7 linked regions of the Macaca fascicularis genome follow. The protein of the gene in region 1 purifies or fractionates together with the protein of each later gene. This does not show direct contact. Links are inferred from orthologs where the notes say so. Each region holds a gene or a part of one and is shown on either strand. Other genes may lie near its edges.

Evidence for each region.
Region 2: the proteins of SLX4 (region 1) and PGAM5 purify together in Homo sapiens (affinity purification with mass spectrometry; 4 studies listed by BioGRID and IntAct, with this or other methods). This does not show direct contact. The link is inferred for Macaca fascicularis from reciprocal best matches to the Homo sapiens genes SLX4 and PGAM5.
Region 3: the proteins of SLX4 (region 1) and PLK1 purify together in Homo sapiens (affinity purification with mass spectrometry; 9 studies listed by BioGRID and IntAct, with this or other methods). This does not show direct contact. The link is inferred for Macaca fascicularis from reciprocal best matches to the Homo sapiens genes SLX4 and PLK1.
Region 4: the proteins of SLX4 (region 1) and RTEL1 purify together in Homo sapiens (affinity purification with mass spectrometry; 3 studies listed by BioGRID, with this or other methods). This does not show direct contact. The link is inferred for Macaca fascicularis from reciprocal best matches to the Homo sapiens genes SLX4 and RTEL1.
Region 5: the proteins of SLX4 (region 1) and TOPBP1 purify together in Homo sapiens (affinity purification with mass spectrometry; 3 studies listed by BioGRID, with this or other methods). This does not show direct contact. The link is inferred for Macaca fascicularis from reciprocal best matches to the Homo sapiens genes SLX4 and TOPBP1.
Region 6: the proteins of SLX4 (region 1) and KPNA1 purify together in Homo sapiens (co-immunoprecipitation; 3 studies listed by BioGRID and IntAct, with this or other methods). This does not show direct contact. The link is inferred for Macaca fascicularis from reciprocal best matches to the Homo sapiens genes SLX4 and KPNA1.
Region 7: the proteins of SLX4 (region 1) and SLX4IP purify together in Homo sapiens (affinity purification with mass spectrometry; 6 studies listed by BioGRID and IntAct, with this or other methods). This does not show direct contact. The link is inferred for Macaca fascicularis from reciprocal best matches to the Homo sapiens genes SLX4 and SLX4IP.

Annotation. Positions count from the first base shown.
Region 1 is NC_088394.1:4,381,211-4,384,710, reverse strand, and holds part of SLX4 (structure-specific endonuclease subunit SLX4), read left to right. Parts: intron 1-2,029; coding exon 2,030-2,219; intron 2,220-3,118; coding exon 3,119-3,331; intron 3,332-3,500. UniProt on the Homo sapiens protein: Regulatory subunit that interacts with and increases the activity of different structure-specific endonucleases.
Region 2 is NC_088385.1:139,826,190-139,830,251, forward strand, and holds the start of PGAM5 (serine/threonine-protein phosphatase PGAM5, mitochondrial), read left to right. Parts: upstream 1-1,262; 5' UTR 1,263-1,297; coding exon 1,298-1,488; intron 1,489-4,062. UniProt on the Homo sapiens protein: Mitochondrial serine/threonine phosphatase that dephosphorylates various substrates and thus plays a role in different biological processes including cellular senescence or mitophagy. Modulates cellular senescence by regulating mitochondrial dynamics.
Region 3 is NC_088394.1:22,747,202-22,751,235, forward strand, and holds the start of PLK1 (serine/threonine-protein kinase PLK1), read left to right. Parts: upstream 1-1,234; 5' UTR 1,235-1,251; coding exon 1,252-1,659; intron 1,660-2,398; coding exon 2,399-2,567; intron 2,568-3,318; coding exon 3,319-3,463; intron 3,464-4,034. UniProt on the Homo sapiens protein: Serine/threonine-protein kinase that performs several important functions throughout M phase of the cell cycle, including the regulation of centrosome maturation and spindle assembly, the removal of cohesins from chromosome arms, the inactivation of anaphase-promoting complex/cyclosome (APC/C) inhibitors, and the regulation of mitotic exit and cytokinesis.
Region 4 is NC_088384.1:119,806,597-119,810,096, forward strand, and holds part of RTEL1 (regulator of telomere elongation helicase 1), read left to right. Parts: intron 1-27; coding exon 28-174; intron 175-272; coding exon 273-388; intron 389-606; coding exon 607-730; intron 731-803; exon of another isoform or gene 804-814; coding exon 815-965; intron 966-1,343; coding exon 1,344-1,486; intron 1,487-2,005; exon of another isoform or gene 2,006-2,252; coding exon 2,253-2,348; intron 2,349-3,272; coding exon 3,273-3,471; intron 3,472-3,500. UniProt on the Homo sapiens protein: A probable ATP-dependent DNA helicase implicated in telomere-length regulation, DNA repair and the maintenance of genomic stability. Acts as an anti-recombinase to counteract toxic recombination and limit crossover during meiosis.
Region 5 is NC_088376.1:36,524,103-36,527,066, forward strand, and holds the end of TOPBP1 (DNA topoisomerase 2-binding protein 1), read right to left. Parts: intron 1,244-2,964; coding exon 1,100-1,243; 3' UTR 501-1,099; downstream 1-500. UniProt on the Homo sapiens protein: Scaffold protein that acts as a key protein-protein adapter in DNA replication and DNA repair. Composed of multiple BRCT domains, which specifically recognize and bind phosphorylated proteins, bringing proteins together into functional combinations.
Region 6 is NC_088376.1:160,731,501-160,735,609, forward strand, and holds the start of KPNA1 (importin subunit alpha-5), read left to right. Parts: upstream 1-1,309; 5' UTR 1,310-1,475; intron 1,476-4,109. UniProt on the Homo sapiens protein: Functions in nuclear protein import as an adapter protein for nuclear receptor KPNB1. Binds specifically and directly to substrates containing either a simple or bipartite NLS motif.
Region 7 is NC_088384.1:76,731,123-76,734,622, reverse strand, and holds part of SLX4IP (protein SLX4IP), read left to right. Parts: intron 1-1,798; exon of another isoform or gene 1,799-1,840; coding exon 1,841-1,941; intron 1,942-3,194; coding exon 3,195-3,500.

The sequences.
Region 1 (3,500 bases):
CAGCAGTCTCCTAAGGTCTAGATTCTAGAATAGTCCCTTTGTTTTCTTTTGTTTTCCATGACATTGACTTTTTTTTTTTTTTTTTTTTGACAGAGCCTTGGCTGGAGTGTAGTGGCGCGATCTCGGCCCACTGCAACCTCGGCCTCCCGGGTTCAAGCTATTCTCGTGCCTCGGCCTCCTGAGTAGCTGGGATTACAGGCACCCACCACCACACGCGGCTAATTTTTTTGTATTTTTAGTAGAAACGGGGTTTCGCCATGTTGCCCAGGCTGGTCTTGAACTCCTGAGCTCAGGCGATCTGCCCTCCTCAGCCTCCAAAAGTGCTAGGATTAGAGGTGTGAACCATTGCACCCAGCCCCATGACAAAAACTGAGTTTTTGAAGAGGCTAGGCTAATTGTATTATAAGATTTCCCACTCTCTGGATTTGTTTATTTCTTTATGGGATCCTTTAACTCCTTCCTCTAACCCTTGGGTTGCCCCGGGTTGCCCCACTCTGAGTGGATTAGAGGCTCATTGGCTCCAGGTGACAGCGTGTGGAGACAGTGCCCCATAGCTGCTGTGCACTTGGTGTAGCACCAGCTCCATAAGCATAATAATGCCAGGTGCTTCTGTTCTCCATCCCTGAAACAATATGGATTCTCATTTCTGATGAAAATTTACAAAGGGAAAAGAAATAGGAAGAAACTATTATTGGCGGACCTAGAGCTAATAAGTATGCAGGCTCTTGGCATTGCATTGCAGATTTCACTTCAGTAACACCGATGAGTCTCAGGCCGCCCCAGGGTCCACAGCAGGCAGTGATTTGATGTCCTGCCGAGGCATCAGTCCTGGATGCACATGTGAGGTATAGAGGAGGCACCCAGCTGGTGTGAGCTCCGCCCCTGCCCAGCATTTGACTCAGTTCTCTCTGTATCTTCACATCACACCCAGCAAGCTCTCAGAAAGAGATAAACCATTTCTTTGTTAAGAAACCAAACCAGGCTGGATGTGGTGGTTCACACCTGTAATCCCAGCACTTTGGGAAGCCAAGGCAGGCAAATCACCTGAGGTCAGGAATTCAGGACCACCCTGGCCAATATGGTAAAACCCCGTCTCTACTAAAAATTAGCCAGGTGTGGTGGTGTGCACCTGTAATCCCAGCTACTGAGGAGACTGAGGCAGGAGAATCACTGGGACGTGGGAAGCGGAGGTTGCAGTGAGCTGAGATCGCATCGATGCACTCCAGCTTGGGGACAGAGTGTAAGACTGTCTCAGGAAAAAAAAAAAAAAGAAGACGACCAAACAAAACAGGGCACCAAAATGAAGGTGTGCTGTTTTGCTGGCCTCAGTGGCAGGCACTGGTAGGCCACAGCCATCAAAAACTTGGGGGTTTATGAGGCGTTCAGGGCGTATCCCTTGTGAGTGACAGGGGTCTGCTCCAGCAATACCAGATGGGCCACCCTGGGAGCCATCTCAAGACCAGAATCAGTCCATTCTTGCGTCTGATGCTAAGTAAGAGATGCTGCTTTTTAACCGCCAAGGGCATTTCACTCTGCCCTGGTTTTATCACGGGCAGTAAAAGGTCAGCAGGAAAGGTTGAGCTTCGAAGAGAACATCTAGCTTTGTTGGAATATGAGCCTTGTGAACCTGCAATGCCCAAGGTAGCTGACTTCAGCAGAAGTGGGGAAGTGTAGGTCCTTGCTACTCAGAGTGGTCCTGCGGTGCCAGCATCGCCAAGCCTGGGGGCTGCTAGGAAGGCGGAGAGTCTCAGGCTGCACCTGGACCCCCTGAACTTGAATCCGAGTGTCGACAAGCTTCCCAGGCAATGCATATGCATGTTAAAGTTGGAGATGGCTGTTGCAGAAGTGCTGACTAGTGCCCAGTCTCACTGGACAGTGCCTGAGTCACCGGTCTACAGAGTGGAGCTGGGTTCTGGTTTATTTGTGCTCCCCCTGCTCCCCATGGTCTGCAAGAGCCGACAGAGCAGAGGTCTGAGGGTGAGCTTGTCTTTGGAGTTGATCCTCACGGATCTTTGGTGCTTCTCCACAGTGTTTGGGCTTGGGCCCCCTGCCCCAGAGAGCGACGCTGCGGTGGCCTTGACCCTGCAGCAGGAGTTTGCACGGGTAGGAGCATCGGCACATGATGATAGCCTGGAGGAAAAAGGGTTGTTCTTCTGCCAGATTTGTCAAAAGAACCTGTCAGCCATGAACGTGACCCGAAGGGAACAGCATGTAAACAGGTGGGGGCAGCGTGGGCCATCACCTCTCCCGTGTACGTGACCAGAATCCCCGGGCACCCCAGGGCTGGAGTGGGGATCTCCACACCTTACTGTGAAAATAGCACCTCAGCTTTGTTGTCAACCTACCCCTTTTTAAAAAATAACTTTGTTGAGATATAATTCACAGAACATATAGTTCACCCATTTATTCACACAGTTGTGCAACTGTCACCACAATCACTTTGGATTATTTTCATCACCGCCAAAAGAATCTCCACACCCATTAGCAGCCACTCCCTATTGCCCCTCTCTCCCCTGACAACCACTAATCAACTTTCTGTCTGGATGGATTTGCCGATTCTGAAATTGCACAGTTGTCCTTTTGTGTCTGCCTTCTTTGACTGAATATGTTGTTTTTGAGGTTCATCCATGTTGTAGCATGGGACAGGCTTCATTCCTTTTTGTGGCTGAGTAGTATCTCATTGTATGGATAGACTGTGTTTTTTTCCCATTCTTAGATGAGGAATATGACCGTGGTTTATCCTTTCATCCATTGACTGACATTTGGAGCATTTCTACTCTTTGGGATTGTGGATAGAGCTGCCGTGAACATGGGTTTCATGTATTTGTTTGGGTACCTGCTTTCAGTTCTTGGGGGTCTATACTTAGGAGTGGAATTTCTAAGTTATCATGTAACTGCATTTAATCTTTCCTTGCTTTATTTAGCCAGCTTTGCTAACAGATACCTAAGTGTAGTGTCTAGGGGCTGACTGCCAGGAGACGGAGTCAGGCTGTGTGGAGGGATTAGCTTTGGGGAACTTGCTTTGACCACAGCACATCCATGATGACCTAGACCCACATGTGCTCCAATCCACATTCCCGGGGAGGGTGGTTCTCCTGTATTAACTGTCTTCCTTCAGGTGCCTGGATGAAGCTGAAAAGGCACTAAGACCTTCCGTGCCTCAGATCCCTGAGTGCCCGATTTGTGGGAAACCATTTCTGACCTTAAAGAACAGAGCCAGCCACTTGAAGCAGTGTGCTGTGAAGATGGAGGTTGGCCCCCAGCTCCTGCTGCAGGCCGTCCGGCTGCAGACAGCACAGCCTGAGGGGAGCAGCAGCCTGCCAGTGTCCAGGTGAGTCAACGAAAAGGAAGAAAACCAAGCCAAATATTGCTGTGTGCACTCAGGGCTTTTTCTATTTAAAAAAGCTTTTTATGGGCCAGGCGCAGTAGCTCACACCTATAATCGCAGCACTTTGGGGGAGGTCAAGGTGGGCAGATCACCTGAGGTCAGGAGTTCGAGA
Region 2 (4,062 bases), on another chromosome or scaffold:
CCAGGATGGTCTCGATCTCCCGACCTCGTGATCCGCCCGTCTCGGCCTCCCAAAGTGCTGGGATTACAGGCCTGGCTAATTTTTGTATTTAGTAGAGACGGGGTTTCACCATGTTGGCCAGGCTGGTTTCAAATTCCTGACCTCGGGTGATCCACCCGCCTCAGCTTCCCAAAGTGCTGGGATTACGAACATGAACCACTGAACCTGGCCAATTTTTTTGTTTTGTTTTTTTCAGAGTCTCACTCTGTCACCCAGACTGGAGTACAGAGGCACGATCCTGGCTCACTACAACCTCTCCCTCCCGGGTTCAAGCGATTATCCTACCTCAGGTTCCTGAGTAGCGGGGAATACAAGCGCGCACCACCATGCCAGGCTAATTTTTTTGTATTTTCAGTAGTGAGGGAGTTTCACCATGTTGGTCAGGCTGGTCTCGAACTCCTGACCTCAGGTGATCCGCCCACCTTGGCCTCCCAAAGTGCTGGGATTACAGGTGTGAGCCACTGCGCCGGGCCCAATTTTCCTTTTTTTATGTTATTAATTTTTTTTGAGACAGGGCAAGCGTCCAGCAATGGGTAAGCGGTGGGGTCGGTCCACACAGGCGTCCAGCAATGGGTAAGCGGTGGGGTCGGTCCACACAGGCGTCCAGCAATGGGTAAGCAGTGGGGTCGGTCCACACGGGGAGCGCCGGTCCCCCTGGAAGGAAACCCAGGCTCTAACGAGGTTCCTCTGAGGACCCTGCTAAGCGAAATGCGCCGGCCACAGAGGGACTATCCCGCAGGAGGCCGGGACCAGAAGTAACAGCCCGGCCGAACCTGAACGCACTTCACGCCGCTTGAACCGCACACGCAGGAACGGCGCCGGCGGAAAAATTTATTTCGGGTTCTGCCACCAAAAACATATCCTTTAAACAAACCTGCCGCGGTTTCCCAGCTCCCTTAAACCAGGGCCCCAAGTTCTCCTCCGAGTCTCCGCCCCGCACCCAGCCTCGAGCCTGGGCAGGGCTTCCGGTGCGGAACCTTCTGGAAAGCACCGCACCGCCCTCCCGGCGTCTCCACAGCTCCGCCCGCACCTGCGCGCACCGGCGTTCGCGAGCACCAGTGACGGGACGGAAGAGTGACGGGGCAGGCGGCTCCGCGAAAACACCCCTTCGCTGAAGGCTGCCCAGCGCCCCGCCGCGCCCCAGGAGGCGGGACTTCCGTCCCCGCTTCCCGGAAGCGGCCTCCCGCGGAAGCGTGTCCCTCGCGGAGCGCCGTCGGGGCTGTGGGCGCCTGCGCGGGCCGGCGCGGGAGCGGGCGGCATGGCGTTCCGGCAGGCGCTGCAGCTGGCGGCCTGCGGGCTGGCAGGGGGCTCGGCCGCCGTGCTCTTCTCGGCCGTGGCGGTAGGGAAGCCGCGCGCGGGCGGGGACACGGAGCCACGCCCGGCTGAGCCGCCGGCCTGGGCGGGGGGCGCGCGGCCGGGCCCCGGCGTCTGGGACCCCAACTGGGACAGGTGCGCGCGGGGCTGGTCGGGCCTGGGGTCGGGATGGGGGTCAGGGCCGGTGTTACCGTTGGGATCGGGATCGGGACCAGGTTCAAGGTTGCGATCGAGTCGGGATCTGGGGTCGCCGTCCGCTTCCCCCGGCGAAGGAACCGCCTTCCGGGGCCGCTCTGCGCTGAGGGTTCTGGGGGCGGCGGGCCCTTCCCGCCGGCTTCTGTGGGCCGAGCTCCGCCTCATCGTCGCCCTTCTCTCCGCCCCTGCGAGTCCGTCCTGGGTGCCGTCGCCGGAGCGCGGGCCGGGGCGAGGCTGGGGTGGAAGCCGGGCCTCCTCCAGGGGCGTTTGCAGGAGGGCGCCCGCCAGCCGCGTGCGGTTAATGAGCGTTTGAAATATGGCCCGTGTGATTCCTGAAGGGAATGCTTAGTTTACGTCAATTTAAACTTAAGCAGGCCGGGCGCAGTGGCTCACGCCTGTAATCCCAGCACTTTGGGAGGCCGAGACAGGCGGATCACGAGGTCAGGAGATGGAGACCATCCTGGCTAACACGGTGAAACCCCGTCTCTACTAAAATACAAAAAAATTAGCCGGGTGCGGTGGCGGCGCCTGTAGTCCCAGCTACTCGGGAGGCTGAGGCAGGAGAATGGCGTGAACCCGGGAGGTGGAGCTTGCAGTGAGCCGAGATCCCGCCACTGCACTCCAGTCTGGGCGACAGAGTGAGACTCCGTCTCAAAAAAACAAAAACAAACAAGCAAAAATAAATAAACTTAAGCAGGGCCGGGTGCAGTAGCTCACGCCTGTAATCCGGGCGTTTGGGAGGCCGAGGCCGGAGGATCGCTTGAGCCCAGGAAGTTGAAACCAGCCTGGGCAACATAGGAAGACCCCCATGTCTACAAAAATTACAAAATAAGTTAGCCGAGCGAGGTGGCGCGCGCATGTGGTCCCAGCTACTCGGGAGGCTGAGGCAGGAGGATCCCTTGAGTCCAGGGGTCCCAGGCTGCAGTGTGAGCCGAGATCCCGCCACTTCACTCTGGCCTAAGCAACAGAGCCTGTCTCAAAGGAAAAAAAAAAAAGTGCAGGTTTTTAACATTGGTTATGTGTTGAAATAGTATTTTTAGCATATTGAATTAAAAGTATGATCGAAATTCACCTGTTTCTTTTTAATGTTGCCGTTAGAAAATTTATAATTTTCACATGTTGCTGGCATTCTGTTTCTGTCGGCCAGGACTGCTCTCGAGGCAAGGATGGTTTGCCCAGTCCTAACTGCTCCTTATACTCAGTATTCTGAGAAAGGGGCACAGAATTATACTTACTACTGTGGTTGTGTTAAGTACTTTATATTACTTTTTTTTCTTTTGTTAACCTTATTTCCTCTATTATTAGCATCATACACTAAGCGTGGTATATATATCAAAATTAATGAGCCGTAACCCATACATTATTACTAAGGTTCATGTTTCACTGAGATTTTCTCAGCTTTTACCTGCTGTTCTGTTCTAGGATCCCACATGACAAGCAATCTTCATGCCTCCTCAGGCACGTTTTGGTGGTGATAATTTCTCAGACTTGTTTCGATGATCATCACTGTTTGACGCATCCTGGTCAGGGGTTTTATAGAAGGTTCCTCAGTTGAGATTTGTCTGAAGATTTTCTCATGATTAGATGGGAGTTACATTCTTTTTCTTTCTTTTCTTCTTTTTTGTTTGAGATGGATTTTCGCTCTTGTTGCCCAGGCTGGAATGCAATGGCGCAATCTTGGCTCACTGCAACCTCCGCCTCCTGAGTTCAAGCGATGCTCCTGCCTCAGCCTCCCGAGTAGCTGGGACTACAGGCGTGCACCACCACGCCATCTAATTTTATGTTTTTAGTAGAGACGGGGTTTCTCCATGTCGGTCAGGCTGGTCTTGAACTCCCGACCTCAGGTGATCCACCCACCTCGGCCTCTCAAAGTGCTGGGATTACAGGCATGAGCCACCATGCCCAGCCCATTAAATTCTTTTTTAAAAATCAGTAAAATATTCTGAATTTCTTAGGCCTTTTTAAGGAAAGAGATTAAGGTTAAAGAACTTGAAGTAGGTTGGGTGCAGTGGCTCACACCTGTAATCCCAGCACTTTTTGAGAGGCTGAGGCGGGCGGATCACTTGAGGTCAGGAGTTCGAGACCAGCCTGGCCAACATGGTGAAAGTCTGTGTTTACTAAAAATACAAAAAAATTAACCAGGCATGGTGGCACACACCTGTAGTCCCAGCTACTCAGGAGGCTGAGGCAGGAGAATCACTAGAACCCAGGAGGTGGAGGCTGCAGTGAGCCCAGATTGTGCCACTGCACTCCAGCCTGGGCGACAGAGGGAGACTCTGTCTCAAAAAAAAAAAACTTGAAGTAGAACCAGGAACTGAGCCCAGCCTTTCTCTTTTAAGCAGGTGTTCTGTATTTGCTTGCCATGTCTGGGGAGAAGTGAATTGGGCCTTGTGGGCTGGGAAAGACTCGTACAGACAGAAGGCATGAGCAACTACAGGAAGGTGCTAGAAGACAGCGTGTTTCCTCTTGAGTCTGGTGTCCACGCTGTAAAGTTCCAGAGCCTCATCTGGTGAA
Region 3 (4,034 bases), about 18 Mb from region 1:
GATCACTTGAGGTCAGGAGTTCAAGACCCGCCTGGCCAACATGGTGAAACCTCTTCTCTACTAAAATTACAAAAATTAGCCGGGCATGGTGGTGCACGCTTGTAATTCCAGCTACTTGAGAGGCTGAGGCGGGAGGACTGCTTGAACCCAGGAAGCAGAGGTTGCAGTGAGGCGGGAGGACTGCTTGAACCCAGGAAGCAGAGGTTGCAGTGAGCCGATATCTGTGCCACTGCACTCCAGTCAGAGCAAGACTCCGTCACACACACACACACACACACGTGGGAGGCCAAACAAAACCCTGCAAGACACATTTGGCTATGACCTGCCAGTTTGCTAGGCATTCTTCCAACCTTCCGTCCCTCTGACCAAGAAACTGAGTGTCCACTATTTTAGGCCCTGGGAAATTCAGTAGCGAGCAGGCCAGACAGCTTCCTTGCATCATGGAGGACTCTGGTACTGTGCTTCTCCAACTTCAGGATGTGTAGGAATCACCTGAGCAGTCTTGTTGAGAGGCGGACACTGACTCGGGAGGTCTGGAGTAGGGCCTGAATGTTTGCCTTTGCGGTTCTAACAAGCTCTCAGGTGATGGCGATGCTGCTGTTCCATGGCCCCTTCTTTAAGCAGCGTTGCTTTGTAATCCGGAGGAGCTCAGAAGCGGCAGTTATTTGAAGGAGCAGACTAGCCATGAAGGTATGTTTGGCAAGCACACTTTTACTTAGATTTTAGTTCAGTTCGGGTGGCTTGGCTGAGAGCTGACGGCATCGGGAGGCGGATGCTAAGGCTTTCTTAAACGACCTGCTGGCATGCCAGTTCCCTACTCTTAGATTGCTTATATTCTAGGTGGGGTGGAAGTGGAGGAAGATTTAAGGAAAAGCTTCCTGGAGGAGGCGCAAGCGAACTGCAGGAGCTTTCCCGGACGCCCGAGAAAGGGAGAAACCCCGAAGGAATTCCTCCCCTCTCGGGGCTGGGTCTCCGCATCCACGCCGGATTTGGTTTCCCAGGCTATCCCACGTGTTCGGGCGTCCCTGTCAATCAAGTTTTTCCCCGGCTGGGTCCGGGTTTAAAGGCAGCTGCTGCGCAGGGCGCTCCCATGGTGCCGCGCGGCGGGCGGGTTTGGATTTTAAATCCCCGCGGCCAATCAGTGGCGCGCAGGCTTTTGTAACGTTCCCAGCGCCGCGTTTGAATTCGGGGAGGAGCTGAGCGGTGCGGAGCGTCTGCTCGGATCCAGGTCAGCAGAGCAGCTCCAGGAGCATGAGTGCGGCAGTGACTGCAGGGAAGCTGGCACGGGCACCGGCCGACTCTGGGAAAGCCGGGGTCCCCGGAGTTGCAGCTCCTGGAGCTCCGGCGGCGGCTCCACCGGCGAAAGAGATCCCGGAGGTCCTAGTGGACCCACGCAGCCGGCGGCGCTATGTGCGGGGCCGCTTTTTGGGCAAGGGTGGCTTTGCCAAGTGCTTCGAGATCTCGGACGCGGACACCAAGGAGGTGTTCGCGGGCAAGATTGTGCCTAAGTCTCTGCTGCTTAAGCCGCACCAGAGGGAGAAGATGTCCATGGAAATATCCATTCACCGCAGCCTCGCCCACCAGCACGTCGTAGGATTCCACGGCTTTTTCGAGGACAACGACTTCGTGTTCGTGGTGTTGGAGCTCTGCCGCCGGAGGGTGAGTGTCGCTGCTGGTTAACTGGAACTGCCTGCGGGGCAGTTGGAGCGCCCAGACCTGGAGCTGCTGGAAAGAGTGCCCAGGAAGGGAGTACCTGGGACTTGGAGCTGGTAGAGAAGGGTGCTGGGAGCCTCCCTCTTAGGTATGGAAAGTGCCTTTGGTAAGGGCTTCTTGGCTCTTGGAGCTGCTAGAGGACGGGGTTCCAGTGAAGTGGAGTCTGAGTCATGTTGCTGATAGGGAGGTCAGCTTCTGGACGCGAGGTACTTGGGGGGAGGGCTGCTGGTAATGGACGCTAGGGCCCTGGAGTGGCCAGGGAGGAGTCCCAGGTTAGTGATGCCGGGCACTGGGAGCTTCCGGAGTGTAGCTGGGTCAGTGAGGGGGTAGTTGGAGCTAGACTTCGGGCCTTCCGAGGGAGATAAGAGTCAGGAAAGGGATCTGCTGCTGGGGACTTCCGGAGTGGGGCTGAGAGAGGACCCCCAGGTAAGGGAGAAAGCTAGTAGGAGAAGGGGTGCTGTGAATGGTTGTGGACAGTGTTAAGGCAGGGTCCAGATGCCAGTTGTCCTGGAGAAGGAATGGGGTGGGGGCATAGGGAAGGAGAGAAACCCACCAAGACCCCTCTTTCATCCTTTGGGAGTCCAGAGTCCAGTCCTGTGCTTCCTTTGCCTGGTAACCCTCTCCCTTCCCCACCGGCCTCAATACCACCTCCCCATCCCTCCTGCCCTCTCCTTCCCATCCACAGTCTCTCCTGGAGCTGCACAAGAGGAGGAAAGCCCTGACTGAGCCTGAGGCCCGATACTACCTAAGGCAAATTGTGCTTGGCTGTCAGTACCTGCACCGAAACCGAGTTATTCACCGAGACCTCAAGCTGGGCAACCTTTTCCTGAATGAAGATCTGGAGGTGAAAATAGGTGAGTTGCTGAGCCTGCAGGGGTGCTTGACATCACTCCAAGAGGCTGGAATTTGGAGGAGGCTGGGAGAAAGGAAGGAGACCAGGAGGAAGGAAGAGGATGGTGGGAAGTTTGGGCTGTTGATTGCCTCTAGAATTCTCTCTTTAGTCCAGAAATTTCAAACAAAGAACCCACAAGTCAGTATCTTGCCTACAGATGCATTATTTTTTGTGCCCCAATACAGCATTTTTCTTTTTTTACAAAGAATTTGAATTTGTTTTTATTTTTTAAATTGGAAGGTTTGACATAAAAATTTTGATTTAGAGCTCCTTTTAAACAGTCATGAAAGCTCCAGTAATACGAGGACAGCATTTTCTTAGGGCAGTCCTTTGCTGGGCTGGAAAGCAGCTGTCCCCTTCAGACTTGTTTGCCACAGTCTCTACTCCTCCCTATTACTTCTTCACAGACTTGCCAAGTCTTGGAGGTTAACTTGCTTGATCCTTGAAGGCACTGGAGTTTTGCTATCCCTGCCAGTTCCCGTTTCGAAGTATAGCCCCTTTCTAAGGGGAGGGGTGAGAAGGGTCACTGGAGGCACCTCCCTGGTGTCAGCATGGCGGGAAGATTCCTGGGCAAGCCTTGCTGCGTACAAGGAGCAGAAGCTTGTGGGATCAAATGGCCCTGGTTCTTGATGGTCAAACCTTAACTAGCCTTCTGCATTGACAGATGGCAGAGGCTGGCATCTAAGTACCCGCTCTTCCTCCCTCTGTCCCAGGGGATTTTGGACTGGCAACCAAAGTCGAATATGACGGGGAGAGGAAGAAGACCCTGTGCGGGACTCCTAATTACATAGCTCCCGAGGTGCTGAGCAAGAAAGGGCACAGTTTCGAGGTGGATGTGTGGTCTATTGGGTGTATCATGTAAGTTGGGAGTTATCTCTGGATCTACCTGGTCTCAGCAGGGGCAACTTTGGGACATCCTACCTGGCTGACCTTTTCTGTGGACCTTTCGGCCTGCTTTACAGCAAACCTACTGCAGGGGACAGGTTACCCCCAAACAAAGCCTAACTGCCATATCTTTCCCTGTCACTGGTGTATCCTGTTGGATTTCTGCAGCCTAGGACATGGGGGAGGAGGAGGGGGAGGAGAAGGAGGAGGAGAAGTCGTCTCCACAACCTTACTCTAGTCCTTTGCTAGAGTGGTCCACAGGGCAGCATCACCATCATTTGGGAACCTGTATGCGGAATCTCAGGACCCAGATTACTGACTGGGTCAGAATCTGGATTTTTTAACAAGGTCCCTTGGTAGTTCCCGTGCACAATAAGGTCTTAAACATTGATGAACATTAGCATGGTGGGGGAAATTAGGCCAGGAGTTACAGATGGAAGGATGACGTGCTAGTGGTCTGTCTGGATTGAGACCATCAGCAGCGGTTGGTGGCAGGCAGAGGCTTGGGCCTTTTCAGGTATTACCTTTCTTGTTTGGGGCCTAG
Region 4 (3,500 bases), on another chromosome or scaffold:
CAGGCAGCTCCCTGGTGTGTCCCCCAGGCCAGCGAGGGGTTGGATTTCTCAGACACGAATGGCCGTGGTGTGATCGTCACGGGCCTCCCGTACCCCCCCCGCATGGACCCCCGGGTTGTCCTCAAGATGCAGTTCCTGGACGAGATGAAGGGCCAGGGTGGGGCTGGGGGCCAGGTGAGTTACAGCAGGGCGGGGCTGGGGTAAGGCAATCTGGCGACTGAGCCCCCCTGTGACCACGGGAGCCCCTGTGACTGAGCCTCCTCGCCCTCCAGTTCCTCTCTGGGCAGGAGTGGTACCGGCAGCAGGCGTCCAGGGCGGTGAACCAGGCCATTGGGCGAGTGATCCGGCACCGCCAGGACTACGGGGCTGTCTTCCTCTGTGACCACAGGTGCGTGCAGTCCGGGGGCAGGCGTGGCGCCAGGGGACACGGCCACATCCCACTGGGCCCTGGACTCCTTCCCCACATGAGGCCCCGTCTACCCCAGAGCCTCTCTGGCGACTCGGGGTCAGCCTGAGGCCCCTGCGGCAGATGAGGGTCTTCACTTGGGTGAACTGACCCCCTGAAGCGGCTGTGGGCAGGGCAGCAGGGCTGTGGCCACCCCCCAGGTTCGCCTTTGCTGATGCCAGAGCCCAGCTGCCCTCCTGGGTGCGTCCTCACGTCAGGGTGTACGACAACTTCGGCCACGTCATCCGAGACGTGGCCCAGTTCTTCCGTGTTGCCGAGCGAACTGTGAGTTTCTGCCCAGGGAGGGGATGAGGGTGTTGTCCCCAGAGGAGCCAGAAATGGGCCCACCCACCCCCAGTGGTTCTGCAGATGCCAGCACCGGCCCCCCGGGCTGCAGCACCCAGTTTGCGTGAAGGAGAAGATGCTGTCAGGGAGGCCAAGTCGCCTGACCCCCTCCTCTCCACCAGGAAAGCTAAGAGTCTGGACCTGCATGTCCCCAGCCTGAAGCAGAGGTCCTCAGGTGCAGATGGCCAGTGCGGGACGGGCAGTGTGGGGCGGGCGGGGCGGGCAGCGGGGCAGGTGGTGTGGGGCGGGCGGCACCAGGCGCCCAGGGTGGAGGCGGCTCACCTGGCTTTATGCACTGCCCCTCCCACCTCCAAAGGCTGTGTCTGCCTCCTAGGGTGGGGTTCCCACGGGCTGGAACCCTCCCCTACAGGCAGAGAAGGCCTCAGGCAAAGACGCGCCCCAAGGCTGGGACTCCCCCTAATAGCAGGGAGGACACCCACAGGCAGGGGCCCCCAAATGCTGGGACCCTCCCTCAGGAGGGGCTCCGTCATAGGCAGGGACCCCCAGCTGGGGCCCCACGGTGGGCTTCACTGCGCACTCGGGTACTCTGCAGGATCACCAGCTGCCGGGGACCCCGAGAGTAGCCTGTGTGTGGAGTATGAGCAGGAGCCAGTTCCTGCCCGGCAGAGGCCCAGGGGGCTGCTGGCCGCCCTGGAGCACAGTGAACAGCGGGCCGGGGACCTTGGCGAGGAGCAGGTGCAGTTCCAGGGCCTTGGGATGGACACAGACCCTCTGTCTCCTGAGGCCAACCCCACCCCGCCCATCTGACTTCAGGCACCTCCCCACACACCCCTGTAAATCCCCTGCCTGTGGGGTGGGCAGGCAGGTGAGGGATCCCGGCTGCCTGGCTGTGTGTGTGCCCTCCACCTCGCCTCACCCACAGGCTGCTGGCTCCCAGGTGGTGCATGCCCTGGCCCTCAGCGAGTGCCCCCACATCACTTTGATTCTCTGGCAGGTCAGCTTGGCTCAGGGCACTCAAGGTCGGGTGCCCCTGCCCCTGGCTGTGCCTGAGGCTGGCCTTTCTCCAGGAATGTGCTGCGGTTGGGACCCAGGTTCCTTCCTCCTTGGGGCCTTTTGCCCCAGAAGCCCATAATTTCTCAGCTTTCTCCCTGCTTCCTGCTGGGGGCCGTTCTCTTGCTGCCTGTCCCTGCCCTTCAGGCTCCTGGAGTGAGCCCCGGGTGCAGGCACCAGACACCTGTGTCCCCTTCCTGCCAGCCCCTCGCTGTGGTCGGACTGTCCTTCCTGGACCTGCTCTTACGTGTCACCACCTGTGAGCCTCATGAGCCGCTGGCGTGACTTGGACAGGACCAAGTTGTGGGACTGTCACCAGGGTGTGCCGCGCCCCTCCCCCGACCTTCGTCTTGGCTACTGCTCAGGGCTCCTTGGGGCCATCTTCCCTGTGGGCCCAGGTGCTTTGGGGCCCTGGAGTGTGTGGTTGGAACCACAGCTGTGTCCTCCTCAGGCCCACAGCTGCTCCACCCTGTCCCTCCTGGCTGAGAAGAGGCCGGCAGAGGAGCTGCGAGGAGGGAGGAAGAAGATCCGGCTGGTCAGCCACCTGGTGCGTGAGCTGTCCCTGCACCTGTGCCGACCACCATAGACACGTGTGGGAACCCGGCCCTGGGTGCCCCCAGCCAAGTTGGGATGTGGGCCCGATGGGACCAGGGAAGTTACCCCCGGGAGCTGATGTCCAGGGCGGCTGTGAAGCTGTCGGCCCAAGGGCTCAAGGGCAGCTGGGATCAGGCCCCGCCCTTAGGCAGGCTTGGTTTGGGGGCTGCAGCACTGGGTTTGGCCCTGGCATTTCCCTCAAGTGTGGACGTGCACCTGCCTCATTCGAGGGGCGCAGCCCATTCCCAGCCTTGGATGAAAGAACCGAGTTATAGTCGGAGCCAGGAAGCCCCCTGCCTGCTGGAAAGCCCCAAGTGTGGCAGCCTTTGTCCATGTCCCTTGGCTTCTGGGAAGAACTGGGTGGTGCCCAGGCAGGGCTGGTGCCATCAGGAAGTGGGCGGCTGCCGAGGGGCCTGGGCTGTTGAGGGCCTGGGTGGGGAGTGCCGGGGCTGCCCCTGCCTTGGTTTCCACGTTTCCGTGTTGGTCTGGGGTGTGTGGAGAGATGAACACCGCTTCTTGGGAAGCCCCTCCCTATGATCTGCCATCCTGGAGCCTCAGCTGTGTCCGCTGTGGGGTGGGGGCTTTAGGGAGGAGGAGAGAGGACCCCCAGCTTGAGGGAGAGCCAGTCTACCCTTTGCCCATTCGCTGCCCTCGGTTCCCTGCCAGCCTCTCACTGTGTGACCCAGACAGGCCCAGCCCCGCAGCTTTCCTCCCGCAGCACCTCCGTGTCCATCCAGCCAACCAGTTTCTCAGGCAGCAGCCCCCGCTCAGCAATCACTGTCCCGGGGAACACCCAATGCTCCAAGGAAGGCTCTGCAGCTGCAGGGATGGGATGATGAGGCTGGCCCTGATGGAGCCTCGGGCCTGTGTGCTGCAGGAGGAGCCCGTGGCTGGTGCACAGATGGACAGGGCCAAGCTCTTCATGGTGGCTGTGAAGCAGGAACTGAGCCAAGCCAACTTTGCCACCTTCACCCAGGCCCTGCAGGACTACAAGGGTTCCGATGACTTCGCCGCCCTGGCCGCCTGTCTCGGCCCCCTCTTTGCTGAGGACCCCAAGAAGCACAGCCTGCTCCAAGGTGCCCTGGCTTGCAGGGGCCGCCCATCC
Region 5 (2,964 bases), on another chromosome or scaffold:
GGGTTCAAGCGATCCACCCACCTTGGCCTCCCAAAGTGGTAGGATTACAGGCATGAGCCACCGTGCCTGGCCTGCAATTTTTTTTTTTTTTTCCTTTGAGATGGAGTTTTATTCTTGTTGCCTAGGCTGGAGTGCAATGGATCTCAGCTCACCGCAACCTCCACCTCCCAGGTTCAAGCGATTCTCCTGCCGCAGCCTCCCAAGTAGCTGGGATTACAGGTATGTGCCACCACACCCGGCTAATTTTTTGTATTTTTAGTAGAGACAGGGTTTCTCCATGTTGGTCAGGCTGGTTTCAAACTCCTGACCTCAGGTGATCCGCCTGCCTCAGCCTTCCAAAGTGCTGGGATCACAGGCGTGAGCCACCGCACCCAGCACCCAGCCCCCTGCAATTCATTTTTTAAGTTAAGTTACATAAATGTTTTGTTGCTTCAACAGAAGAATAGATGCCAGGGTGCTCTTTTTAAAAATTCATCTATGTAAACACATCTTAATACTAATTTGAGTCACTACTTTTATTCTTTATTATCACATTTTCCAAGTTTTGGCACCCAAACTTGGCAAACATCATGGAGATTTGTACAAACATACATATACATATATACACACACATTTATAGCCCCAGCTTCTTCACTAAACCTTGTGCTCAGGCTCCTGTTAAAAGAGGTAAAATGGTGAGAAGATAAAAATCAGGGAAAACATGAATAAATGCTGATTGACAAATCTTGTTGTTATGAATTTGTAAGGCAGACTTTCTAAAGCAAAATCCATCACCTTGCTAAAATTTCCACTAAGCTATAGCTTCAGATATTTACAAGAAAAATAAATACCTTCTAACATACTTCAATGTGGTTTAACAGCAAGCTAGCTGAGGAGCTGTACTTTGTTGTTATTTCAGGTAACTTTTTATTAAGAAACAGTTAATATTGCAGTGATTAAAATTTCAGGTGTTCAAAACTCAAGAAGGGTCATCATTATACTCTGAGGCAGAAGTCTTCAGGCACTCATCCTTAAACTACGACCCAAATCCGCCACAGTGACATTCAGGCTTTCAATTTTTAAAAACATTTAATGTTTGGTAACTAAAGAGTAGATGCGATTAGTGTACTCTAGGTCGTTTCATTTTATTTTTTTCTGTAGGAGCTTTCCTCTTTTGTGATAATCCAGTCCCAAGTTCCTTATTATTCTGAAGAAATGAAATAGCTTCTGGTAGACAGTAATTTTCTACATGAGGAGGTGATTCCTATAAAAGGAAAAATAAATGATTTTTTTAAATGATTTCAAAAATTTGCATGATCCAGTAATAGATTTTTTTCTTTAAATCTCCAACCTGTCAGGGATGAATCTGACAAACGTCAAGGAAAATGCATATTCATTCCTAGGTTCCAGTAAATTAAACAAAATGAAGCCTGTGGGACAAAGCCCCAGCTGTTGTCAGAGAAATACATGTATCGCTCAGGTAGAGTGCGGCTAGCTCAGATCTTACAAACATTCCATATTGGTGTTTTTAATCCCCATTTTAGAGATAAAATAAAAAAGGTTAAATAAAACAACCAGTGTCACATAACTAGCAGGTAGTAAAGCCAAAATTCATAACCGATCTGACTCCAAAACCCTTGCATTTTTCAACCACAACCATTTCCCAACATAGAAGAAATGGATCTTTTCCCCCTTATTATAAGTGTAATAAAACTTAATTTTCTAGCAATATGGCAGACTGGGCAACCTGAAAATGAATCACCACAAAATACTAAGTAAGTGCCTTTTGATTCAATTATTCCATGGATAACAACTACAAACACTGACCAAAATATACTAAAAGCAACCACAGACCCTGGAGAATAAACAAACCTAGCAAATGTGGGGCTGGGGACGCAAACACAGTGTATGAAGTAAACTCCCTGTTAAACAACACAGTACTCTTTGGAGGAGCAGAAGAACAGAATCTAGAGTTTCTTTTTTGTGGGGAGATAGGGGTCTTGCTGTGTTGCACAGGCTGGTCTCAAACTCCTGAGCTGAAGCAATCCTCCTGTCTCAGCCTCCCAAGTAGCTAGGACTACAGGAGTACCACCATGCCGGACTTGAATCTAAAGTTTCTACGACTTATTCATGACGTCCAGAATATATCCAAAATTAAGCAATTGCTTTGTAAAGAAGCAAAACATGACCCATTCTTAAGAAAAAATGAATCATTCAAATAAACAGAAATACTTAGGCATAAGCTTAAAAAAAACATATATAGGATCTATATACTGAAAATTACAAAATGTTTATGAAAAATTAAAGACCATCTAAATTAATAGAAAGAAATGTCATGTTCATGGAAGACTCAATGTGGTAAAGATGCTGATTCAAAATGATCTGTAAGTTTAATGAAATTCCTATCAAAATTGCAACAAGGTTTTTATAGACATACATAAGCTTATTTTAAAATTTACATGAAAAGATACAGGCAAAAAAAAAGCTGCTACAATAGCTAAAACAATCTTGAAAGAGGAATAAAGTGGAAGGAATCACCAGCTGATATTGGAGTTTATGTAGTTATCAAGATAGGGCAGTACTAGAGAGGGACAGACACACACATGGATCAATGGAATTGAAAAGAGAACCCAGAAACAGACTCACACAAATATGACCAAATGAATTTTTTTTTTTTTGAGATGGAGTCTCGCTCTTGTTGCCCAGGCTAGAATGCAATGGTGCAATCTTAGCTCACTGCAACCTCAGCCTCCTGGGTTCAAGCAATTCTCCTGCCTCAACCTCCTGAGTAGCTGGGCCTACAGGCATGCGCCACCATGCCTAGATAATTTTTGTCTTTTTAGTAGAGATGGGGTTTTGCCCTGTTGGCCAGGCTGGTCTGGAACTCCTGACCTCAAGTTATCCACTGAGCTGCACCGGGCCAAATCAACTGAATTTTGACAAAGGTGCAAAAGCAACTCAGTGAAGAAAAGACAGTTTTCTGAA
Region 6 (4,109 bases), on another chromosome or scaffold:
AATAATCAATCTTACCTCCTTATTGGAATAAGGTGATCTGTCTTCAGTCTAGCTGGGGTCAGGCAAACTTGCCCTCAAGTCTCTCCTGGTGAACACACCTTCCCTTTCCCCAGCCACATTGCTCAAACTCAACTCTGATCTTAGTAAACACATCGCGGGAGAATGCTGATGCAGCAGAGTGAAGTCCAGGACAAATGAACATTGCATAACCTAGGATTCAGGTAGAGTGGTCCTCTGTCTTCTCCTCTTCCCTGGGACATTTATAAATGTACTAATCTACCTCATCTCTTTTACCTTGCTTCTTGGCATATGTTTTAAATCTATCTACTATTCTGTGACCCCTGCTAGGCTGGCTTCAGTTTTTCTTTTGAAGCCACTACTCCATTTGCTCCCCCAAAGAATTCCATCAAATTTAACATTAACAATCATTTGCTCCAAGTTTTCGTTTGAGAGCACTTGAGAGTAAAACGAGTATTTGTGTTTCATGTAGTTTCTTAATTATTATTATTATTATTATTATTATTGAGGCAGGGTCTCACTCCGGTTGCCCAGGCTGGAGTGTAGTGGTGCGATCTCGGCTCACTGCAGCCTCATCGTCAACTCCGGGCTCAGGTGATTCTCCCACCTCAGCCTCCCCAGTAGCTGGAACTTCAGGCGCCCGTCACCACCCCCGGCTAATTTTTGTATTTTTAGTAGAGACGGGGTTTCGCGATGTTGCCCAGGCTAGTCTCAAACTCCTGGTCTCAAGTATTCCACCGGCCTAGGCCTCCCAAGGTGCTGGGATTACAGGTGTGAGCCACTGCACCCGGCACTTAATTATTTTTGATACTACTCATACATTATCAAGCAAAGGGGATGGGACATAACTAAAAAAGGAATGTCCAGAAGCTTCTTGCATTCATGCTGCACGTGAGCCCTTTAGACACGAGGCGCTGACCTACTAATTTTGTAATACTCCCTCAGTCTTCAATCATTCCATCATTCATTCCATCAACGCGTATTAGTTACCTACTTTGTTAGAAGCTATACAGAGGTGAACATCGATCCGCCCTGGAAGAGCTTAGCAAAGACAGGTTTGCACATATAACTTTCTCCAACCTTTGTTATGGTCTGCAAACCTCCTTCTTAGCGAGACCCTCTCCTCTCCCCGATCCCCGACTCTTCGCAGGCTGGGCGAGAATCGCTAGGAACGTGCGGCGAGAGAGCGTTACAAGACTACGTCTCCCGGCAGCCTCTGCGGCAAGCGCCGGAGGGGCGCGCGTAGGCGCTCGGGCCGGCCCCCGCACGCAGGCGCACTGCGAACGCCGGCAGAGCTGAGTCTTGCTGCTAGGTGCGCGGCGGCGGAGAGCGAGGCCTGCTGAGCACCGCCGAGGCGCGGGCCAGCTCTTCGAGGTTGTGCGCGGGGAGCGGCACGGCGGGCGGGCGAGCGAGGGCTCACTTCAGCGGTGGCACCGGGATCGGTTGCCTTGAGCCTGGTGAGTGCGGGGGCTTTGCGGCCTCGGCCCCTCCCCCTCCCGCCGGCAGATCCGGGCAGTCCGGGAGGGACTCGGGGGAGGCCCTGGGGCGAGGGCGGGCGCCGGCCGGGCCTCGAGCCGCGGTGCCTGGGCCCGGACGCTCGGCCCGCGTCCGTGCGTCACGGGCCCTGCTGTCCTAACGGCCGCGCGGCCGGCGGAGGAGAGGGTGGGGGTGGGGAGCCCTGGTGTGATCGCCATCGGGAACGCCGGTCGAGGCGGGGCGGGGCGGCGTGGCGCGGCGGCAGGGCTGTAAGCGGCGCCGGGGACTGCGGAGTGCCGAGGCAGCGGGCGGAGAGGAGGCGAGCGCGGAGCCTGCGCCGTGGCTGGGCGGCGGGCGGGAGGCGGGGGTGGGCCGTGCAGAGCGCTCTGACAGAGGCAGGAAGGAGCAGGGGTGGCGTGTAAAATTTCTAACCCTGGCAAGAAGGGACCGTCTTGGGAATTCACAAGTTACAGCCCGGGTCGGAGCCGGCGGCCCGGAGGGAGGTAGGGGAAGCGGGGCGGGGGCGCGGGGAGGTGGAGACGACCGGCTGCAGTTTACAGATGTCATAACAACAGGGGCCTGTAGCGGCTGATTGGGGGTGTGGTAATTACAGGAATGACAGAACTTGGTCTGCACACCGCGTGTTAAAGTGGCGATGCGAGGGAAACAGCTAGGTATCAGATTAAGCTCACAACTGGAGGATAAAACTGAAGGATGACTGGAGTCAAGGGAGTCGTCATGAAGTAATGTTTTTGGGATTGGGTCATGTTCCACTTTTAAGTGAAAGCGTTCAAAATATTTCGTTTTTAAGGTTTCAACTCGGAACAAACGATTGCCGAATTTTTGTGTTTTAAAGAGATGGGGTCTCGCTATATTGCCCAGGCTGTACTCCCAACTCCTGAGCTCAAACTGGCCTCCTGCCTTGGCCTCCCAAGTAGCTGGGACTAGTCTCGGGCAACCACACCCAGCAATGCAGAGTATTTTTTTTTTCTGAAACGGGTACTCTCAAGTAATATTAACTTGAATTTCACCGTTTTTTCTTAAATAAACGGTTGCTTAAAAATCTCTATTAGTAGATAAGGTGATTTCCCCCCTCCTGTTTTTTTTTTCTTAAGAGATGGAGTCTAGCTTTGTTTCCCTGGCTGATCTGGAACTCCTGGCCTCAAGGCATCCCCCCCATTACCTGGAACTACAGGCGGGTGCCACCAACAAGGCTCATTCTCGACACTGTTTTTTTCTTAACTAGCTTTTGCATTTGTAATATTTTGAAAGCAGTCCACAAGTTATTTTTCCCTCCTTTTTAAAGATTAAAGAGATGAAAATTTAATTTTTCAAAGGAAAGTAAGAATGATTACTGTTGTATTTTTACTGAAATAATATATTCCTGGAAGGCACTGTTTTATGGATAGATGAGATGTAAGAGAAAGTAAAGGAATTAACATTTATTGAGTTCTTTTTCAGGTATTGTGTTAAATGCTTTATATATATATTAAAAACATTTAAATCTGAAATATCTGTTAATTTTTCTATTTTACAGATGAAAGCATTGACAATCAAATGTTAAGTAACTTACCTGAGGTCTTCTAGCTCTTATTGAGAACAACCTTAGAACCCAAAGTTACTGCCATTTAAATTATTTCTCTCCTTTCATACTTTTTCGTTGTGTTTTCTTTATTTAATCCGTTCAATCAGCGAATACTTATAGAGTGATCTTCTAGATTTGGAGGGATATAGTCGCGATCAAAACTCACTGTCACTGTTCTCATGGAATTTATAGTGTAGCGGGGAAAGCTAATATTACAAATATTGACTGCATAACATTTTATCAGTTATAGTTGAGTAGCAACTGTAAAGCACTCTACTAAATAGTAAAGGCAGTTGAAATGGAAGCAGACAACATAAGCCTTGAGGAATTTACAGTCCTGTAGGGCAACAAAACATACATTTATAAAAACCTAGAATAAACTAAATGGGAAAGGTATCACCTGAAATCACTGTTCTTGCATTATGTTATTTTTTATTTTATTATTTTTTGGGGGGGGGTGTGGAGGACTTGCTCTGTTGCCCAGGCTGGAGTGCAGTGATGAGATCTGGGCTCCCTGCAGGCTCCCTGCAATCTCCGCCTCCTTGGTTCAAGCAGTTCTCCTGCCTGAGACTGCTGGGACTACAGGCGCATACGGCCACACCCGGCTAATTTTTTGTATTTTAGTATAGATGGGGTTTCACCGTCTTGCCCAGGCTGGTCTCGAACGCCTGAGCTCACGCGGTCCGCCCTCCTCGGCCTTCTGAAGTGCTAGGATTACAGGCATGAGCCACTGCGCCCAGCTGCATTATGTTACTTTATAAAGTGGTTCTCATAGAAGTTTCTTCACAGAACTATGATTTAATATACATCTTATCTAGAACTGATACATACCAAAAGGGGCCATGAAAAACATTTTCTTCATTTATATCTAATGAAGAAATTTCTAATTTATTTATTGGTTCCTATAAAATACAGACCTTGGAGACAAATTCTTCCTAAGACCCCAGTATTAAGCTTTTTTTTTTTTAAACAGATGACTGGTTTTATTAGATTGTTTTGTAAGCCATCCTGTTTCTCCATACTTTTGACT
Region 7 (3,500 bases), on another chromosome or scaffold:
GATTTGAAGAGAGTGTCACTATCGCAGCATAATACTTTATGTGGCATATGCAGTATTCATTGTTGTTATTTATGACCCTGTCTGCCTTGCATTGTGGATTTCTTCCAGCCTTGGGGAATTTACATCATTCCTAATAGCAAAAGGCTTTCTGGTTCCCACAGAGTTGTTCAAAGCCTGACTCATGCTCCTTATGTTAATTGTTCAGCTCTGAAAATACAGCACTTACAGGGTGTGGTTGTAAGGGGAGATTCTACTGTACTTATAGGGCATGTTTAGAAGTGTTTCACACATAAATCTCGATTCCTCTCTCTCTCTCTCTCTCTCTCTCTCTCATTTGAATTTTAAGATGTCACTCATTTTGGCCAACTAGTAAGTCTTAGAAAACAAACCAAAAAAAAGGGAGTATAATCCAATAAAACATAGAATATTCTGTTCACTAGCTTAAAACTCACTTGGGTTATAACCAGATATGACTTTGAATGACACTGGCCCAGGTCTGAGATGGATAGGCACAACTGAAGAGCATGGAGAGCCCATCCTCAGTGGTGCAGGGCAGTGATTAGGCAAAGCACATCCCCTCAGCCTGTAGGGTAACCAGGCGTGGTACTCATGGCTGCCACCCACCAGGTGCTCTGGGGCTGTCACTGCTAATTCCAGTGTCGTTCTAAAGCAAGGACCTAATGACAGTTTACTAAAGCTGTTTCTGGTGGTAGCAACATTTTATTGGAATTTGATGGGGAAGAATACTTAGTGTCTCAGAAAATGAGAGGAGTTAATACTCGTCTGGATTATGTACTCGATAACCAAAAGGAGAAGAGATTCCAAAACTATGAAATGGGTTAATGTTGGCAAGGTAGGTAGGCTTTTACATTTTATAATTACTTCCTTATGATGCTTCCATGGGAACACAAAAGGCTAGATAGGCAGATAATCTATGAATTATATAAAACCAGAGTGGTGGTTAGTATAAGGAAAAAAGTCCCGAATTTTTTAGTAGCCAAGAATCACAAACTCCAGTTTTCAAAATACCAATATTAAAATATTTGACTATTGCTACGGTCTTGGGTGTTACAACTTTTTTTTTTTTTTTTTTTTTAGACGGAGTCTCACCCTGTTACCCAGGCTGGAGTTCAGTGGCGCCATCTCAGCTCACTGCAAGCTCCGCCTCCTGGGTTCATGCCATTCTCCTGCCTCAGCCTCCTGAGTAGCTGGGAGTACAGGTGCCCACCATCACGCCTGGATAATTTTTTTTTTTTGTATTTTTAGTAGAGACGGGGTTTCACCATGTTAGCCAGGATGGTCTCGATCTCCTGACCTCGTGATCCGCCCACCTCAGCCTCCCAAAGTGCTGGGATAACAGGCGTGAGCCAACGCGCCCGGCCACAAAATATTCTTTATTTTTGCAGATAGAGAAAATATGGGGAATTCTTAGGATGGTAAGGGTGTAGACCACTGTGTCACCAGGTCTTGCTGGAAGAACGGAGCTCACAGGCACGCTGCCCCACACAGTAGGATTCTGGGGCTTTTGTCACAGCCTGGGCCTCACAGTTACCAGATATTGGCCAAGACTTCCCAGATGGTTTGGAATCAGCATTCTTTGCCTTACAGTTTTGTATGTTTATGGCACATATTAATGTTTGAAATGTAGACTGGGAGTCCAAAAGAAGTTACAATTAACCATAAAGTTCTAGGTAAAAAAGGTTAAAATAGCTTACCACTGAGCAGTTTCATTCAGTCTTTACAAAAATAAATGTGTTCATTGGGCATTCAGAGTGTAACTGTTTTCTCTCATGTTCAGCTAATAGATTTCTGGTTGAACCTTTGTTATCTTTTGGAGTAGACAGAAAGAGTTCTCCATGGAGTGTCTGATTACTTTGCTGAGTGTGCAGAGAGTTCACTTCCTCCCAGTGCAAAGCTCCGGAGAAATGCTCTGAAAGAAATGTAGGTGCAATGTGTTTCCTTTTTCTCATTTGTGACTGCCTCTATGTATGGATAGATAACATGAAGTCCAGAATTAAACAGAGTGCCTGGAACTGAAGCACAAACTCCCCTCCATCATGTACTTGCTCTCCCCTCCCTCCTGACTCTCTTGCTTTCTGGACAATAGGGATAGAGTCCTTGCTTCACAGGTGTGTTGCAAGGAGTAATTAATGACACGTTCTTTGAAGATGAAAAGCACCTGTTGGTGGTGTGTTTCATACCACTTTCAGAGGGACTACAGACAGATCTAAAAAATACATTCCTTTCCTAAGATCCTTGTTCCGACTTTAATATAATTACAATAATCCTCATACTCCTGGTGTCAACAGTAAGAACATGAGTATTATATGTATTTGTTTTCACGCTGAAGCTAGCCAAAATAAATATTTCAGCTTTCAATGTTTTGGTGGTTGAGGAAATTTCTTGCCATTCACAGACCTGTAAATATATGCTGAAGTTAAGATCTGTAGTCTCTAATTCTCCCTGTGCAACTTCTATCCCGCCCCTCAAAGTTCATTTTATCATCAGAGTGAAGTTACATTGTCTGTTGTGCATGCCGTTAGAAGCAAGGGGCTTATATACAGCTATATCGACACTCTTTTGTCTTCCACGATTGCATTTTATTGCCTTTCATGCTGGCTATCTGGAATTTCTTCCAGGACATTTCAAATTATATTAACTAAGTCCTACTCCCATTTGTTGATCAAGTTTGATCAACAAACATGACACCAGCTAAGTGGTGGTTGTATTTGGGTAATACCTTGAAATAGCCTGAGAGAAATTCCAGGAGATTATTCTTTACTCACAAGTAGAAATTGTGTGTATGTGTACATTTGTGTTCACAGAACCTGAGTCTACTCCTGGAAAAAAAAAAAAAAAAAGTCAGCATATAAGCAGTACTGACCCTTAACATCGGAAATGAATACCTGTTTGCCTTAGTTAAAATGGGAACACCATCATAAATCCATTTTTAACCCAATGATTGATAAGCAGGTATATCCTAGTATAATGGAAAATGTGAAGGTTTTTGCTTGATTCCATCTGCATTTAAACATACACTTGTTGTGGGGGGTGTTTCCAGATTTGCTGGGGAGGCAAGAAGGCAGGTAGTGCCTGCCTCCTTTTCCAGGTGTAGGAAATGTGGTAGAGGGAATTTGGAGGAAACTGTGCCGTGACAGCTTCACAAACCATAAAATCATTTTTGTTTGTTTCAGTGTGAAAAGAACTGAAACAAAAAGCAGCATCACGAGCAAATCACAGACCAGAAGAGACACTGTGGAAACATCTAGTAACTCAGTGATTGCAGAGATAGCAAGGAGGAGGAATGATGGTCAGGCTTCCTCCAGTCCCGCATCAGAATCCACGGGACTAGCAAAGGATTACATAAAGGCAGCTGAGAGCCACTGGGGGCTTCCTGTTCAAAAGCTGGAAAAAGTTAATCAGACCCAGCCAGAAGTCACTAGTGGCCAGCAAAAACCTCATCCTGGGGAGCGGTTAAAGACAGGGCTTCTAAGTGGGAG